Linked DNA regions of Lonchura striata. The protein of the gene in region 1 interacts with the protein of each later gene in a biochemical or structural test. Links are inferred from orthologs where the notes say so. Each region holds a gene or a part of one and is shown on either strand. Other genes may lie near its edges.

What was found.
Region 2: the proteins of INSR (region 1) and GRB10 form a complex in vitro, tested with the Homo sapiens proteins (5 studies listed by BioGRID and IntAct). The link is inferred for Lonchura striata from reciprocal best matches to the Homo sapiens genes INSR and GRB10.

What each region holds. Positions count from the first base shown.
Region 1 is NC_134630.1:3,807,484-3,811,226, forward strand, and holds the start of INSR (insulin receptor), read right to left. Parts: upstream 2,803-3,743; 5' UTR 2,791-2,802; coding exon 2,706-2,790; intron 1-2,705. UniProt on the Homo sapiens protein: Receptor tyrosine kinase which mediates the pleiotropic actions of insulin.
Region 2 is NC_134603.1:69,037,943-69,041,685, reverse strand, and holds the start of GRB10 (growth factor receptor-bound protein 10), read right to left. Parts: upstream 2,139-3,743; 5' UTR 1,961-2,138; intron 1,727-1,960; exon of another isoform or gene 1,635-1,726; intron 1-1,634.

The DNA.
Region 1 (3,743 bases):
TAGGTGAGGTAAATCCCACCCCAAATACCAGAGCTAATGAACTGACAGGCATGAGTCATGTGCGAGATTTATTTCAAGAAGTTGCATTATGTTTACACAGTCATTAAAAAAAAATACACAAAACTGTCTTTCTTCCCAAAACAAGATATATGGATCTTCATTTTATGCACAGGTCAGGCCTTCTTTCCTTAACCCTTTCTTCTTCTCTCAGTAACTCCTGAACTCAGTAACTACCTTTAACCACATGTAAGAGAGGAAGAGTGCTCTCACATGAAGTATTCCTAAAATATTTAGGAAAATGGGATGGATTGAGGAGGAGAAACTCATAATCCGGATGGAAATGTGAATTTTACCATCCACTCCATTTTTCTACTGAACAACCTCCATCCACCTGCTGCTTGCCCCCAAATCTTCTCCAAGGCTGCCTAAAGGCACCAAAAGGGAGAGACATTTACACATGGGACACAAGGACAACCATGGATGGGGGGAATTTTGTACCTGCAGAGCCTGTCTGTGGGAACACAGGGCACAGATCTCCAAGAAAGCTGCCTCAATCAGACCCGTTGCTCAGGGAACAACTTGTTTGCTCATGCAGCTCTTGTACGTGCATTTCCCCCTCTGGTTTTTTGTTTCTGTTTTCCATCCCCACTGTGGTGCTCCATGACCTCACCATTCCCAGAAAACTGAGCCAAGCCCCCAGAAAATAGAATCAAACACCAGAGCAGCTGAAAACCTTTTAAATCACGTTCAAACATCAAAACCCCGACGGTCCGAACTGTCTGTAGAATATTTCATGAAATATTTGCACAGTAAAAATGATATGGAAATGTTCCAGCCCACGCTTTGCTTTGCTGTCTTGTGCCCCTGTTCCTCCATCCATGAACTCAAGAGAACATTTTCCTACCACGCTGTAACACAGCAAAGATTAGGGAGTTTAGAACATAGACACGCTTGAACCCCAAAAAGCAAATATGATTTAAATAAATAACCAAATCACAGGCTGCGCCGTGGCAGTAATAATAGTGTTTTCAAATTAGGAACTGCTGGACTCCAGTTGCACACGTATTTATTTATTATTAGTGCTATATGTCAACTGCCTTTTCCATCTCTGCTGGAGGCGGGCAGGTTTGCCCACAGCAGCTGGGACTGACCCTCCCAAGGTAACACAGTGTCACCGGACTCTTGTGAGGTTTCAAACGTGTGAGGGAAGAAACTGGGTTATTTTTGAAATACGTGATTTGTCCTATTGTTGGAAAAAGAGGCTGTCTTACAGGAGCATCCTGCCTTATTCCCTGAATCCCATACACATCCCAATAATGTCCATCACTGTATTGTCAGTACTTGAACTGATTCTCTTGCTCTTGCCTTTTCTGAAGGGAAAGCCAACAGGTAGATTGTCTATGTGAGACATGACCCACGGATCCAGTTAGCTGTCTTTAAATAAATATTTTCCTTTTGTCAAAAAAAATGGCAAGAATCGCCCAAAATTAAAGAACCTCCCATTAAAAGGATTTCCTGAGCAAGTTTATTTAACATAACCCATCAAAACAACTCGTAAGGCTTAACCTGGAGCTAGCCGCAGGTTTAACAAGCTTGTGACCTCCAACACAACATCTTCATACCCCTGTCCAGTATTTTACAAGCCCCTGTGTACACACAGAGCCTTCCCCTGGAGCTCTCCCATCTTAATACCTGTGGATTTGGCACACTACCTAAAAGTGGTTAAAGACAAAACCTCCGCGTCTGGCCACACTAAACCCTCCTGAAACCGGAGCCGGTTCTGAGGCAGCCGAGCAGCGGCAGGGGCACAGGACTGGGGAGGGAACCGGGGAAAGGATCAGGGAAAGGACCCGAGAAGAGACTGGGGAAGGGACCGGGGAGGGAGCGGAGAGGGACCCGGGAAAGGAGCATGGGACAGGACCCGGGAAAGAGACACGGGACAGGACCCGGGAAAAGGACACGGGACAGGACCCGGGAAAGAGACACGGGACAGGACCCGGGAAAGGGACACGGGAGAGAGACCCGGGAAAGAGACACGGGAGAGAGACCCGGGAAAGGGACACGGGACAGGACTCGGGAAAGGGACACGGGACAGGACCCGGGAAAGGGACACGGGAGAGAGACCCGGGAAAGGGACACGGGACAGGACCCGGGAAAGGGACACGGGAGAGAGACCCGGGAAAGGAACACGGGACAGGACTCGGGAAAGGGACACGGGACAGGACCCGGGAAAGGGACCGGAGAGTGGATCGGGGGAGGGGACCCAGGGAAGGGGCCGGAGAGGGGACCGGGAAAGGGACCGGGGAGGGGACTGAGGAAGAGACCCTGGCAGGGCCCGGGGAGGGGAGCCGAGGAGGAACCGGGGAGGAACCGGGGAAGGAACGGGGGAAGTGCCCATGGAAGGGCCGGGGAGCGGCTCCGCAGAGGGGCCCGTGCCCCTCCCCGGGCGCGGCCCCGCTGACCCCGGCCCGGCGCCGCCCGCGCGGGGCCCCGCGGGCCGGGAGAGCCGGGGCCGCCGCTGCCCTCCCGGCCGTGCCGCTCCAATCTCGGCCGCCGCCGGGCCGGGCCGGGGCTGAAGGTGACCCGGGAGCGCTCCGGGCCGCGCTGCCCGCGGGCCCCGCGCAGGTACAAAGGGCACGGCGGGCCCGGGCCCGCCCCGCCGCCGCCCGCAGCCCCCCAGCCCTCCCGGCCGGGCCCCGACTCACTCTCGCCGCGGCCGCGGCCGCACCAGGCTCCCAGCACCACGGCCACGGCCAGCGCCGCCGCGGCCGCCGCCGCTCTCGGTCCCATCCCGCGCCGCTGCCGCCGCCCGGCGCGAATCAGAGCCCGCGGGGCGGGCGCGGGGGCCGGGCCCGGCCGAGCATCGCCGCGGAGCCCCCGCGGAGCCCCTTTATAGCGCCGGGCCCCTCCCTGCCCGCGGAGTCGGCCCCGGCCCGGCGGCCCCTCGCAGCGCAGGCCGGGCTGGCGGCGCCCCGGCCGGTAAACAAGGGGCTGCCCCCGTCAGCTGCGAGCCCGGCGGGGCGGCCGCAAGAGGCGGCGCGGAGCGCGGGCACGGGACGGGACGGGCCGGGGGAGGAGCGGCGGCGGCGTCCAGGCACCCTTCATCACCCAGCCTCCCTTCATCATCCAGCCTCCCTTCATCATCCAGGCACCCTTCATCACCCAGCCGCCCTTCATCATCCAGCCTCCCTTCATCATCCAGGCACCCTTCATCATCCAGGCACCCTTCATCATCCAGCCTCCCTTCATCATCCAGGCACCCTTCATCATCCAGGCACCCTTCATCATCCAGCCGCCCTTCATCATCCAGCCGCCCTTCATCACCCACCCATCACCCACCCCTCCTCTGTCCGTCCGTCCTTCTGCCCGTCCGCCCACCCACCCATCCAGCCGGCTGTGAGCCCCGTTGGTGCTGCCCGAGGAGCCGCAGTGGCCTCGGCAGCGTGCAGCGAGTGAAACGCAGGAGTTCAGCAGCCTGACCTCGCTGTTTGTTCAAATGGAAGGAGAGCATGGTTAGGTGAGAGATTAGGGAAAATATTTTTACTGGGAGGGTGGGCAGGCCCTGGCACAGGGTGCCCACCCTGGATCCCTGGCAGTGCCCAAGGCCAGGCTGGACAGGGCTGGGAGCAGCCTGGGACAGTGAAGGTGTCCCTGCCATGGCAGGGCTGGCACTGGATGGGCTTTGAGGTCCTTCCCAACCCAAACCATTCTGGGATTCTGTCTCTCTGTCCCAGTGCTGACAG
Region 2 (3,743 bases), on another chromosome or scaffold:
CAGCTCTGATATTAACGTATACCTGTACAAAGATAGCCAGAGGAATACAGCTCTGGAACAGCTCTCCTCCTTATGCTGCTCTGAGAGGTTAAGCCCTGGAGGAAGACTAATAGCATGGGAAGAGCATCCTGCTTAACTCCCACACCCTGCTTCAGCCCCAAAAGCATCATGAAGCACAGCCAGAGCTCTCATCTAAAGTTTCAAGCATATTTCCTCTTTTCCAAGCAGATTTTCTAATCTCCATGTGTTTGTGGTGCTTTTTTTTTTTTAACCTGTCCTCGTAACGCACACGTTTTAATCCTAGGATTAGCTTTGTTGCCCTTCTCTGTACCTTTCTAGAGCTGTAAGTACAACTACTAGCCTCAGAACGCAAGAATAGATGGAGCTGGAGTGTTAATGCATCCCACAACATCTCTGTTAAAACACACATGCACCTTTAAGAGGCAAAACAATTTCAGCTGCCCCTTAGAAGCATAACTGAAGGTGGCAGATGCCCACATCCCTTCTATTCTGCCCCCTCCTGCTTTGCCCCAACCCCAAATTCATTCTGTCTTGGTGAAGAGAAAAGCAAACCACATTATTTGAGTCTGTTTTAGACGACATGATCAATGCTGCTTTGACATACCAGCAACACATGTTCCCATTTCAACAAATGGGAGCATTTCAGGCAGACCACCACTTCAGATGGAGTGGGGCTCCTGGCTGCTGAATCAGCACTTTCCATCCTGCTGGCAATACAGAGTTATGCGACGCTTCAAAGGAAAGCGGGGAAAAGGGGGAAAGGGGTGGGAGGGGGCGCTGGCACTTGAGCAACAGAAGCGGGCAAGAGGATTGTGCAGGAGTTCATCTGCCAAACCAATTAACTGCAAACTGTTCTTATAAAGATGCCACAGTTTCAGCCCCGGCTTGCAGCGCCGCGGTTATACAAGGAGAGCCACGGGTACCCGCCTCTCCCCGGCGGGGAGCTGGGGCAGGAGAAGCTCCGCGCTTCCCGCAGGGAGGGTCTCCCGGGCTAACGAGGGGCTGTCGGCACGGCCGGGAGCTCGGCAGGGCCGCTCTCCGGCGGGCACACGGCCGCCTGCCGCCGCACATCCCCACCGCGGAGGAGCAGGAAGGCGGCAGCACCCCGGGGTGGCATTTCTGCGAACTGCCCATCCGCCAGCCCTCCCGCAAACCCCAAACGGAGCAGGGGGAAAACCGGGGAGTTTCAGCGGCACCACCAGCAGTTGGCGGGGCAGGTCTTCGCTCTCCTCCAGCGCGGGGCGACGGGAAAGCCCGGCTCCCGGCACCGCCGGGGCGAGGCGCGCAGCAGCGAGCGAACAAAACGCGGCAAGGAAGCCCCGAGACGGGAAAAAGGGCCGATCCTCCGAACCCCGAGGCCGCCGGCGAACCCCGGCCGGCCCCGGGGGCTCCGCGCCGGGCGGGGGGCGCTCCCCACGGGAACTGGGAGGGGGGGGCTCGCCGGCGGCCCCAGGAAAAGGAAGTTTGCTCTCCTCCTCCTCCTCCCACCGGCCTCCGCTACCAAGAAGCCGGCGAGCCCTCACCCACCCCGGCCCGGCCTCACCCCGCTGCGGCTCCCCAGGGGCGGCGGCCGCCGCCCCCCTGCGCGCCCCCGCCGCCCCCCGGCCCCTTACCTGCTGGGCGGGCAGGCGGCCGGCACCGTGCCCGCCGGGCGCCGCGCACCCGCCAAGTTCGGGGCGGGCGCAGGGGGTCGGGGGAAGGGTCGTGCGCGGCGGGGACGGGAGCGCGGGCGGGGAGGGGGATCCTCGGGGCGGAGGGGTGGAGTGGGGCGCGGGCGGGGGAGAGCGATCTCTCGGAGCCACGCGCCTTAAAACCAACAATAACAAAAGAAAAAATTAAAACAGAAAAAATATTTAAAACCATACAATTAAAAAAAAAAAGCAATTAAGTAAAAAAAAAAAAAAAAAAAGAAAGAAAAAAAAAAAAAAGCAAAACACACCCAACGCGAACGGGGACGTTCGCGCCTCCGCAAGGCGTCCCCAGGCTGCGGGAGGGGTCTGCGGAGAAAACTTCTGCCTGCCTGTCCGCGCCGCCGGCTCCGGTGCTAACGGCGCCCGCCGCCGCCGCGTTCTCCCCTCGCGCCCAGCTGACTCCCGGCGGGCCCCGCCCCGCTCCCGCCCCGCTCCCGCCCCCGCCGCACGCAGCCGCAGCCCCGGCCCGCGCCCCGCCGAGGGCAGGGGGCGGCCGGGAGCCCCGGCGGCCGCGGGCTGTGTGGCGGCGGCGCCCCTGCCCGCCCTCCCCCGTCCCGGGGCGAGCGGCGCTGGAGGCGACACGTCGTGGAGCTGTGGCGGGTGTCCTGCCCTCGAACAAAAGCTCACCCGCAGGTAGCACCGGCGCGTGCTTTTCTTGGGAAAGGCTGTTTTTTCTTTAAAATAAAACCAACAGAGCATCTGCACACGCGAGGCATTTGTGCTTGGACTTTTTCTTTAAAGTCGTCGGTCCTGTTCTCACCTTTTTCCCCGCAAAACTGCGCAGGGCAAGTCCCCCAGATCCCCTTCCTTCGCTCCCGACAGCACGGAGCAGGCTCCCGGTGTGTGCCGACAGTACGGTGGGCTCTTCAGAGCTCCTCCGTACTCCAAAGCACCCTGCCCTCCCGGGATCCGCAGGCTGCCACTAGCACTCCTACAGACTGCTGCTGCGAACTTCTGTGCGCTGGGACCTTCGCTATTGCACCACGGTAGCTCCGAGCCATCCGATTTGCAAGTAGCTTGCAAATAACTCGGACTGTGGAAAAGCTCTTTTAAGGGAAGCAAAACTGCACGCTTCCCTAAGAGCTACTGGTTTAAAACGTATTGACTTCCAATAAGAGCCGTCACACTCTGTGAGGAGAGGAATATTTACTTCACTAGATGCAAAAACACCTCTCATAAGAAAGTGGTCAACTCTATAAAAGGCAATTGAGTCCAAGGAGAAGAGGGAGAAATCTCTGGGCTTTTCTTCCTAGACAGATGCATGTACACTAATGGGAGTATTGTGGCTGAGCGCCCGAGCTGAATATATTTTGAAATGTAACATGATACCTTCTTTGCTCTTGCTTTCTCTTCCTCCGTGGCTCTTCTTTACTGTATATAAAGGAATGCTTTTCTTATCAGCCCACACTCCGGTCCCCGTTGTTTCCAACCATGCTCTGTTCTCGCTCTGTTCTCACCACTCGCTCTCCCTGTTCAGGTCCTCGAATAATCTCTCCAGTCTCCTTCAATGTGTCACCTCAGCCTCTTGGACACACGTGCCACTCTGCTGCCTGCTCGCTGCTCACCGTGCTCACCAGCCGCCTAGCCTCTCCTCGGCACCGCGCTCCCCTCGGCCATCTCCACTTGATGCAGCGCTGAGCGTTGCTCTTCAGTCTGTCAGCATCACTGCTGCCCGTCCTGTCCTGTCCTGCCCCAGTCCATGGGGCCGTCACTTCCCAGCCTCGTTCAGCGCTCCCTTCCCACCGCCAAGCTGCTTTGTCCCGCCTTCCTGTGAGCCAGCATTCACCCTGATCTTGCGTTTTGTGGGTCCAGCCTCAGAGTGTTGGTGCCTCACCAAAGCAGAAGCTGTCTCCTGTCCAGGTTACTATTTAGTGAAAAGGTGAATGCAGGTGGTATCAGATTCTGCCTGAGATTTCTCCAGAGGCAAGAAGGCACCTACTCACAGTAGGCTGGCATCACAGCCCCACATGCTTACATAAGAAACTTTCAGTACAGATAGATCCAGCCTAGATAGGAAGGGAACGCCAAAGA